2 linked regions of the Drosophila melanogaster genome follow. The protein of the gene in region 1 purifies or fractionates together with the protein of each later gene. This does not show direct contact. Each region holds a gene or a part of one and is shown on either strand. Other genes may lie near its edges.

The links.
Region 2: the proteins of Rim (region 1) and Fife purify together in Drosophila melanogaster (affinity purification with western blotting; one study listed by BioGRID). This does not show direct contact.

The regions. Positions count from the first base shown.
Region 1 is NT_033777.3:17,913,377-17,918,662, reverse strand, and holds the start of Rim (Rab3 interacting molecule), read left to right. Parts: upstream 1-2,084; 5' UTR 2,085-2,524; intron 2,525-3,498; 5' UTR 3,499-3,709; intron 3,710-5,286.
Region 2 is NT_037436.4:2,708,653-2,713,818, reverse strand, and holds the start of Fife (fife), read left to right. Parts: upstream 1-2,128; 5' UTR 2,129-2,467; intron 2,468-5,166.

The sequences.
Region 1 (5,286 bases):
AGCTTGCAAACAATAAATTAAATTACACCATAATACGTTTGTGGGCTTTCACTTGTATTTGAAGTGCTTTTATTCACGTGCAGCTTGAAATCAACTAAAGTTAACTCTTAGAAATTGTAAAGCATCTCTTCCTTGTAATTACCTTACAACACAGCATTCGCTGGCCCCAAGAAATTCTTGTCAAAAACTTCCTTCGAGAAAGCCCCCTTTGCAGTCTCTCTCTCTCTCTCTTTAATTGCGCATTTCGACTTTTCTTGGATGACATCTGTTGGCCTTCCTGCCCTGCGTCCTAGCCCAAGTATGTTTTCTTCTTGTTTTTTCTTTTTTTTTTTTGGTTAAAATGAAAATCAATAAAAAGCTCAATGACGTCAGCCGCCCAGACACACACACAAACGCACACACACGCACACTTACAAAGTAAGCGGCAACATCGGAAAATGCTGGCGGCCAAATACAGCTCCTGGCACTCCCAGACTCCACCTGCCACTCCCCCCGCCCACGTAGCTTGCTCTCATCTCCGCCGGAAATCCAATCGCTCCCCTTCGTGTGCCAGTGTGTGTGTGTGCCGGCGACTGTGCGAGTGTTGCGGGTGTGCGAGTGTTGCGAGCCGAAGACACTGCACGTGAGCAGGCTATCAGCAATGGAATAAGAGTTTCGACAGCCAGAAACGCGTTTATCTTTCTGTTTTCAGCTGTCATACGCTGAGAACAAATTTGTAGTTGAATTAAGACAAACTAAAGTAATATTCTATTAATTAAATGGTTTTTAGTATTATAATAAAAATATTTTTAATTTGTACCTAGATCAATTCCCAAACTAAAACTATTGTTATATGGGACTTTGATAGTTAAACTACAAATAAGATACTGCAGATATTTGTTCGATATATTTAATAACTATGCATTGATTCGTATGCATATTAGTAATATTACTTATTTATTTCTCTGTAACTCTGCCAAAGGCATCCAAAGTAAAGGAAATGCACTGGTGAAGGAAGGCTGGCCTGGAGTGGCTGTGACAATTTACGCCAAATCTCATGATGGCTGCGATAAGCTGACAGATAAAAGCGATAACAGCGACGACAACTCAAGCCAATTGAGAAATATGCAACAGAAGTGTACAAATTTTTGTGGGCTTTGAGTGTTGGATATTTTTGACAAGCACGTGATGTGTTAAGGTCAAAAGTTGGGCATCCAAAAATAGATTTGGCTCAAATGGATTTAAAGCAGATCTAAGCAAGCGAAATCATTTTAAAGGAAATTGCTAAAGTTTTAGAAGAAATAAATATAAATGAAATTACAACTAAGTATAAGTATATATAATGATTTCTAGCATAAAAACTATAATATATTTCTGTATTTCGCAGCTTGTTAACCTATTCAAGTTTATTGCAATTTTAAGCTCGATTGAGCTGCCAAATCTTTTCAATAATATTCGCTGAGAAGGGATCATTTCCCTGCCCCTCGAAGTATGCAATAAAGAGCGATTCGTTCCAAATTGGCGCTGCTGCTGCAAGAACATCCCCAAATGCAATGAAAAACTGTTTTTCTTTTCTTTTTTTTTTTGGCAACAGCAAGCAAGGGGAGGAAGTGAACAGTGAACATATTTCCATAAACACACACGCCCCCCATTGGATGAGGAGTTGAATTTTATGAATATGCAACACGATGTTGTTGCTTAATGTTTGCGCAAAACAACCATATGAGCATGTAATGCCCAAAGGGGGCGGGTATTTGGGGGTGTGTGGTGAAAGTTGGAGTCACACACTCGGCAGTTAGTTTGTAGTAGGTGTTAAAATTGCACATGAAATATGAAAAGCCACTCATAACACTGAGAGAAACATGTGCTCCCACTTGCCTGGTTAACAACTCCCTGGTCAATTCACCACGCGAACGACAGGCAGTGTGTGTGAGAGAGAGAGAGAGAGAGAGTCCCTTTTCATGAGAGAATCCGAGTGATACGGGGATAGCGAGAGAGAAATTCCTGAACTGCTGACGACAATCGAAGCGAATTCCTGATGTAGGTGGGCCATATCGTGGGCTCTATAGCTTTTCCAGCTCCAGCTGCGGGTCCAGTTTTCAGTCGTTGTCGTGCCGTCGTGATGTCGTTGCCGTCGTCGCATCCGTCGTCGTTGTCGTTGTTGTTGTCGCCGCACTCCATCTAGTTGTTGTTGGTGCAGCAGGCAGTACAGCAACAGCAACAAAATCACACACCAGCAGAAAGCAGCAACATCAGGCTTTAAGCGCCAGCGAACAACAATTAAACAAGCGAAAATTGCAGCAACAAAAAAAACGAAATGAGCTCGCTAAACGGAAAATTCATTTGCGCATATGGAATGCTGCACACATAGTTATATACATATATATATATAGCCACACATACAAGCATATATATATAGATATATACGTATATGTTATACACACACAAATCTACATAAAATCTAAGTGCAAACCAATTGTGATTTAAGCTAATGACCACAAACGCAAAACAGCTCCAACAACCTACAAGAAAGTGTATAAAAAATGTAAGAAAATTCTGCATTTTTCATTGGTCTCCACGACAAAATTTGATTCGTTCACTTTTTTTTCCAACTTTTTTCCGCCGTTCGTGAGCTGGTTGCTTTTTTTCTGTACACACAACGCCACGCAATCCCACCCAAAAACTCGCCTCTCTCCGCTCTCTTCTCTCCTCGACTTCTCGCCTCTGTGCTCCTTTGTTGTGTTGGCCGTGATCCTTTTGGCCAGGATTCGGTGCGGATGAACGCATTAAATATGCAGAAAAATAAACTAACACACACTCAAGGAGGTCTACCGCAGTTAACGACTGTCCTTCATCCTTGAGTTTTGTAATTATAATTTGAAATATAGAAGATTTCATTGACACTGTCAATTGCTTTGATAGGTCATAAATTTAAAACAATTTCATATGGAAAAAAATTACTATTAATGTGGATGAAAAGTCAGGGGAGAGCGACAGTTAACGAGAGAGAAAGTTCACCACACACAATCAAAACTAAAGAATGTTAGCCAAAACAATTATGACAAAAACTATTCTAGTAACTAAACTTTCTCCATTCAATTTAAAATGCCTCGAAATTTTAATTCAAATCGGAGTAAATATTTTTTTATGTACAACAGTGCGTATGATTAACTTGGCTAACCCGCGTTGGCCTTTGGCCTCCGTTCAGTGTGTGGTGAAACCCAGTATTGCCACAAAAACGTCCCAGTATTTCCTGCCAGCTGCAGTGTGCTCTCTCAGTCGCTCACTCGCGCGCTCTCGCTCTTTTATTTCCCCAATGTGCGCGTCTGTGTGTGTGAGTGTTACAACAATAGTGGCAGCATGCAACATAATTACAACTCAACTTCAACTTTACACTTAGACGACAAGCGAAGCTCGCTAGAGAAACAACAAATGTCGAGCGCCGCTGAAGTGTTTAACAAAAATAAGGAATACACATAAGTGATTAAAATCCATAATTAATGTCTTTCTACCGAACAGTTTTCAAGTTTTTTAAGTATATGAAATTCAACCAAAGCCTTGTAAATAGCCAACAAAATACCTAAAGAACAAGAACGCTTTTATTATTAAAAACAAAACAACAACAGCAAATAAAACCAAATTAATTAACTCAACTAAGGAAAGCCATAAACAACAAACAACGAACGAATAGACAACGCCGTTTACACAGCAACCTGATAGAGAAATGCATGTAAGTTAAACTAAAACAAAAAAAAAAAAGGGTATTTCGAGTTGTACCGAATGACTAGTCTTATGTACTGCAAAGTCAACGAATCAACGAAGCAACAACATCAACAGTTGCCCCAGACAATGACGAACAATGGCCGAGAAATTGCCACAGCATATAAAGCAAACTTAGTCCCTGTGTTCTCTCTGTTGTGTGCAGTTTACTTCTCTTTTGTGGCTGTTACTGCTCTGTTTACTGGGCAATAATGAATAGTAAATGTGGGTGGTGGGTGGTGGGTGGTGGGCGGTGGGTGTTGGGTGTTCGGTAGTGGGTGGTCCTTCGATGGGCGTTAAATTTAATTAAAAGGTAAACTAGTAGCAGACAGCAACAGGCAGTCAGTTGGAATCGATTTTCCTTTTCACTCGATTCACTTGGCAAATGGCGAACGTCACTAGGCAACAACAAAACGAATTGCAGGAATGGGATCGTATCGGATGAGATGGAATGGGTTGTGGATGGGTATTTTGCCCTACAGACAAATGATGGTAATGACGACACACAAGCACCCACACACACACACACACACACACACTAGAGCACTAATACACTCGCCAAAATGGACGTCATAAATGTTTGACAATGCACACGGGGCGTATGAGTAATGGCAGTGAGCCCACAATTGGTAAGGGGCTTTGTTGTTTGGATACAAGTGGGCGTGGATGTGTGGGCGTTCTGTTGGCTGGTTGGACATCGCTGAAACAACTATCTATTGACACTGTATCCCCCACTCATTTTCTCCTCCCCCACCCTCCCATGTAACCAACATTTTGTGGGGGTCAATGGGTGCATGAAATTGCTTTTTATGCTTCGCTGTCGTCGCTCGCCCTTCTCCCACTTTCACCCCCTTGGCCACGTCCATTGAACATATTCAATGCGCCTTGTTGGGCCAACTTTTAGCTACGTTATACCCTATATTACACCCTCCCGTTGACAGGTTTTGTCGCTTGCATTTGTTCGCCGTTAATTGCATGGAAATTGTGCGCGCAATTGAAAAAGTTGAACAAGCCAAACGACAAAGTGGCATTGTTCCAGCTCGCCTTTTCCGGGAAAGCCCACAGATATCCTTTTCGACCCAGTCAATGACTTGTGTTCGCTGGCCGGTGCTGCAACTATGAATGAATAAGTGCAATTATGGGCTCTAGGACCATGAATCAAACGAAAGGCGGCTAGCCGCGACTGTAGAATGGTCATTAGTCAGCAGGCTGGTCGGTAAAAAAAAAAAAACCCATAAGACGTTCCATTTGGCAGGCAGCCGCAAAAAGTCACCAAGTCATTGCCTCGTTTATAGTTTTTGGCTGCAGCAACAACTAGCGTGGCAACTTGGCCACGTTTTCTTTTATGGCTCTATTGGAGTGCATAAGTGTGCGTGTTTATTTGTTTGTGTCCTGCGAGTACTACAATAGTGCAGTGCATTGCACCCGTTGGCTCGAAATGGCTGGCGCCATGAAAATTCGCTCGCCAATTCAGTTATCTGCATAAATTTCGAGCGATCTCCATGGGCGGCGTGACGTCACGGAGACTGAAATACATACATATACTGC
Region 2 (5,166 bases), on another chromosome or scaffold:
AAATGGACGCACGCAGGACCCTTGGCCAAAGGCAAAAGGTGTGCGTCAGGATTACGCGGCATTTCACCATTTCAGCATTTCGGCATTCGAGCGGCAGTGGCGAGGGTCCAAAGGATATTCATAAATAAATATCTGCAGGCATACAAATTGATAAGCTGGCAGCCAGGTCCCGACCTAAGCCCCCTGCCACACACAAGGCCGTGCCCAGGATTCGAGCCCCCAGAACCTGGCATCTTAATCGACAGACGCTGCATACCTTTTTGGGGGCCTGCGAAATCGCCAGTCAACTTCCCGGCCGAAGGGATGGGGCTCTCGAACAGGTCCAATCCAAACATCCCCCGATGACTGGCTGGCTAACAGGTAAACACTGGCTACACTCGAAAATAAAATGGTTCGGAACATGCATGAAAAAATCAACCTTATATAATCTTATGTTATGAGGATAACATTTCGAAATTTAGGCTTATGTATATGATTTTATCAATAGTAATTAGTTATACTTAAAAAACGTTCAGATTTTAAGTAGATTTTCTAAGGTTTTTAGTGATTTTTCCAAGTCTACCCCTGCGTGATTTCTTCTGCAGCATTCTGATGCCGTTCGTCCTTCAACAGACGCTGCTCCTTTCACACGCAACGCCTCAGCTCGCGTCCTTATTTTCCCTTTTCCACCTCGCGTTGGCACATTTTCCTTTTGCTGCCTCCTCAGCTTTTTTTCGCAGCTCCCCCTCGGCCCCTCACCACATTTCTTGGGGCCCATTGAATTTCATTGTGCGCTCAAATTGTTTTGGTATTCAAGCTTAAAGCACGCGACTGCTTCTATGCCTGTGGTCGGCCATCCTGCTCCTTGGCTCCTTGTGCTGCCACTGTTCCTTCTGTTTTCTGTTTTCCTTTTTTTTTGTTTTTTTTTTTTGCTGCTGCAGGTCCTGCCAGCGAGTGTGCTGGTGTGCGTGCGATGTTTTCGTCCTCGGCGATGTTCTCTGCCTTCCAGCGTATCCTGTTGCTTGCGAAACGCAACCAGTTGAACATTTCCAGCAGGACTCTCTGGGCCTCGGCTCCGCTCGGCTTTCAATATCGTCCTCCGGCGCTCTCTCGCGCTCTCGGGAAAGGATTTCTCTGCTTTTGCTCTCTCTGTTATTCGGCTGTTGCTTGGCACATGTTTAACGCGCAATTATTTTGGTCCTGTTGCGCTTTTTCCATCGCCTTTGTGAGAGTATGGGTGGCTGGATGGCTTAGTTTGTATTCAGACAAAGTCAACTTAAAGTTGCTAAAATAACGTAATTAATTCTGTTATTGAGCACTCAGAAATACACTTAGTTTCTGGTTTTAGATGGATTTTTAAAGTGCGTATATAAGTCCCTAAGGTAGCACTGGTAATCATTACTCCTTTTATTTAAGGATGAATTTTTTAAATGAAAATTCCCTAATACTTTGAATTCTAAACAAACGGTTCTTATAATTTGTTTTACTTTTAAAATTTATACTATACTTCCATTGCACAATTTAAATGTGCACCGAGTCATCAATCAGGTTGTTCCTCATTTTATCACTCGTTTATTTTAATAGAGATTAATTCATCAACATTACGATTATTATTATTATTATATTATATTATTCAATAAGTTCCGCTCCTTAAAAAGCCCCTAAATATCGTGATACCACCATCTCCATGGACATCCACATCATGATGGCCATCAGCATCATTGCTGGGCATGCAACAATTATGAAAAGTCTCCACTCGGGTACGCTTGTCCGCTCGTGTAGACCGAAATCGGCGGCAGGATGGCCGAGTGGATGGATAGAGAGCGCGCACCTTGTGGCAAGTGCGTGTGCGTGGGGGGGCGGGGCATGTGCGATAGGCGACGTTCGCAGCTGCCTGCATCCGCATCCAGGGAAATCGCTTAGCTGTTGCTTCGTGTGCGACTCGCAAGGTGGAAATTGATATTACTTTTTAATGCTGGGCCAGCTGGTGGCTGGCAGGACTTCCAGTGCGCGACAGGGAGGCGGTTATGCCGAGGAGCGGCCGTGCGACAGAGAGGGCGCGAGAAGCGAGAGCGCACTGCTTCGGCTCGAAGGACCAAAAGTGCCAGCCTCGTCACAGTTCGAGTTGAGCCGTCTCGCGAGCAGGACACCAAACGCGGAGGCTGACATATCCTGTCGCCAGGAACTTGGCAACTTGGGTACTTGGGAAACAGGAACCCAGGCTATAGGAGCTATAGCCTTTCTAACTTCTCCCGGCCAAGGTGTGCGTGTGCGCGAGTGTGGGTATCCTGGCTGTTGCTGCTGCTGTAACGGTGTGTGCTTTGTGCGTATGTGAGTGTGTGCGTAGCCGTGTTGTTGGCCAAACAAAAGCCAGAAGAAGTGACGAATAAATTTATAATCGCGCGCTTAACACACGCTACCTGAAAATATACATTTTGCAAAAAGTACTACTCTCACTTTAAGACTAAAAAATTGTTTAGACGCGCAGGTGAGTTGAATTCGTGTGTGCCAAAAATTGTTGTTATGAAAGGACTCGCGTGGCAGGCTAGCAAATAGTTTAATTTCCGGTCTGGCCATCAGGCGCACATCCGGTTTCAGTTTTATTTCCGTCTGTGCTCACTGCTCATTCACATGTTCCAGAATATATCTGCCAATTCTTAAATTCATTTCATAAATACGAATAGGACTTTTAAATTTGAAAGGGCAAAGCAATTTTTTCAGAGGTACCCACCACAAACTTAAACTTTTAAGCAGTAGTTTTCTTTTTTTGTTAAATCATATTTGCTATTTAATATTTAAGAAGAGTATATTTATGTGCCTTATAAAACTCCCAAGTACTTAAGAATTTTTCAAGACCTCGAATCGTTACTGCCAACTTTGTATTGGCTGGAAAAGTGCTTGGAAAAAGAATAAATGTATTGCAAAAGTCCCTGTCTGAATTTGATAAAATACCATTACACAAAAGGTATTGATTCCTGGTCCTGGCCCCTCCAACTAATTCCAAACGTATTAACCAGGCTTATGTCTTAGCCCTTGGGGGCTTTGAGAAAAGACGGCGGACAAACACCTCACAGGCTGGAAAATAAAACAACTTAATGAAGCAAGAAATTGAAAACATTATCAAGGCGATTAATTATTGATACTTTGATGTTGCCGGCCCCCGTCTAATTAATTTATAATTAAGTTAAGCATCTGCCCGGAGCTCACTCTTTGGATTTCGCTGCTTGAGCTTTAAGTCGAGGATGAGGAGCAACTTTAAGCTGTCTTCGGCACCTGCTTCAGCAATTTTTGCGATTGAGACTTTATGGACGTGACCCGCCTGCCGTATCGATGGCAATCAGATTGTTGGGCTGTTTGGGATGACTGGGGTGAGGCTTGGCTAATGCCTGCTTCTGGCCAGCCAACTGTCATTACTCTTGGCCCTAATCCCTGGCCGAGTTTGTGGCGCTCCACTCGAACGGATCCTGAGCCCCACAGCTGAGCCCCTGCACTTACACCTGCCATCGCGTCTGGTCGAGGTCTGCTCCAAAGTGCCTTTATTATGCCATTTTAATTTAGATTCCTATCAATCAGTAATAAGCATTGTGTCCACCCGCACAGACAGCAAAAAAAGCGTTAAAAACGAAGAGATATTAGCTATTAGGGTCAGGAGCATTAGCTTAATATCCGCTTGATTTTTATTACAAAAACTTGATTAAATTGGATTTCCACACTCAGCGGGCAAAGCGAAAATTGGGTTTAAAGTAAATTTCAGATTTATGAAGTCAGAGAATTTTGGGCTTTCTCTTAATCCATTAAATATTACTCATATTTCCGAACATGAAATGTATTTTTCCCCTTTCAAGGGTGAAACATCAATGTCATAATTTACGAATTCATTTGATTGTTTTTACAAGACTCACAATTTGTATTGATATTTCCCACAGTTTTCGCAGAAAGTTTTATAGCATTCGAAGGGAGTAAACAAAGTTGTTTAGTTTTCCTGTTTTGAGCGGATATGCAAATCAAGCGGCAAAACTCATTTCAGTTTCCCCACAAAATCGCCAACAACAAGAAGACAAGGGAAAAGTTAACCAAAACAACAAATGCTAGGCGAAACTGATGAAAAAAAAAAGAAAACTCATTCGGATCGTTTGCATAAATTTGCGTCTTATTTTGTTGGCAATTTATATGCGCAGCCGAATGACACACGCATTTTAATTGAAAGCAAATAAAAGACTCTATAATACATAATATGACAAGCCATAATCCTGACAGCAACAGTTATGCATGCTGACAGCTCGCAGCGTAGGGAAAATGTGGGGAAAAGCGTGCCGAAAACTGGGTCGGAAAAGCGGTGGACTGCCGCGGAGTGGCGGACAAATCCGGAAAATGGACAGCAGGCAAATGCTGACAGGCTGGCCAGCCCAGCGAGTCTAATGGCATTTTAAACAACTGAACTGATGGCCAGTTAGCCCGCTTTTCCCTCGCATGTGTGTGCCCATCGAAATGTATTCATTAATGTCGTCTGCAAAGTCAAAGTGTTTAAAATGTTCAACACGCCCGGGGCACATCCTGGTATCATTATATCCTTGGCCCATCAAGTACACAAACACACGCACGTACGTGTGCAGCCCCAGGATGCCCGCAAAAGGATTAGGCCCTTTGTTTTGGCCCTGCCTAGCAGATTTGGCTCATTCTGGTTGCGCTTTAATCAAAAGCAGAAATTAATTAACTTTGTGCCGAGGATTCCAGACTTATCTCTTCACGGCGTGTGTTGTGAATAATGAACGTTTCCCGGACTCTTGGATTGCGAGATGCAAAATACCAAATTGCCGCTTCATTTGCACAACAATTTTTAATAAAGCAGCAGCAAAGTGAACGAATTTTTTCCCGTCGACGACTTTTGACCGGGTTTTCCGGACGTAAACAAGCGGAGGACCCAAAAAAAAATAAAAATAAAATAACCAAAAAACTGCGGGCCGCAGATAAAAAACGCGTAAACAAATAACCGACATAAAGCGCATAAAGTGAATGATGCTGGCCACAGGCGCAAATATTTATTTTACATTTTTAAATAAGTCGCTCACATTTGTTGTATTTGGCCTGATGTCGACATCCCATTTGATATATACACATAAAAAACTGATGCAGAGTAAAAAATTCCGTTTATTTACATGCTTCTTATCTGCTTTAATGCATTTACTC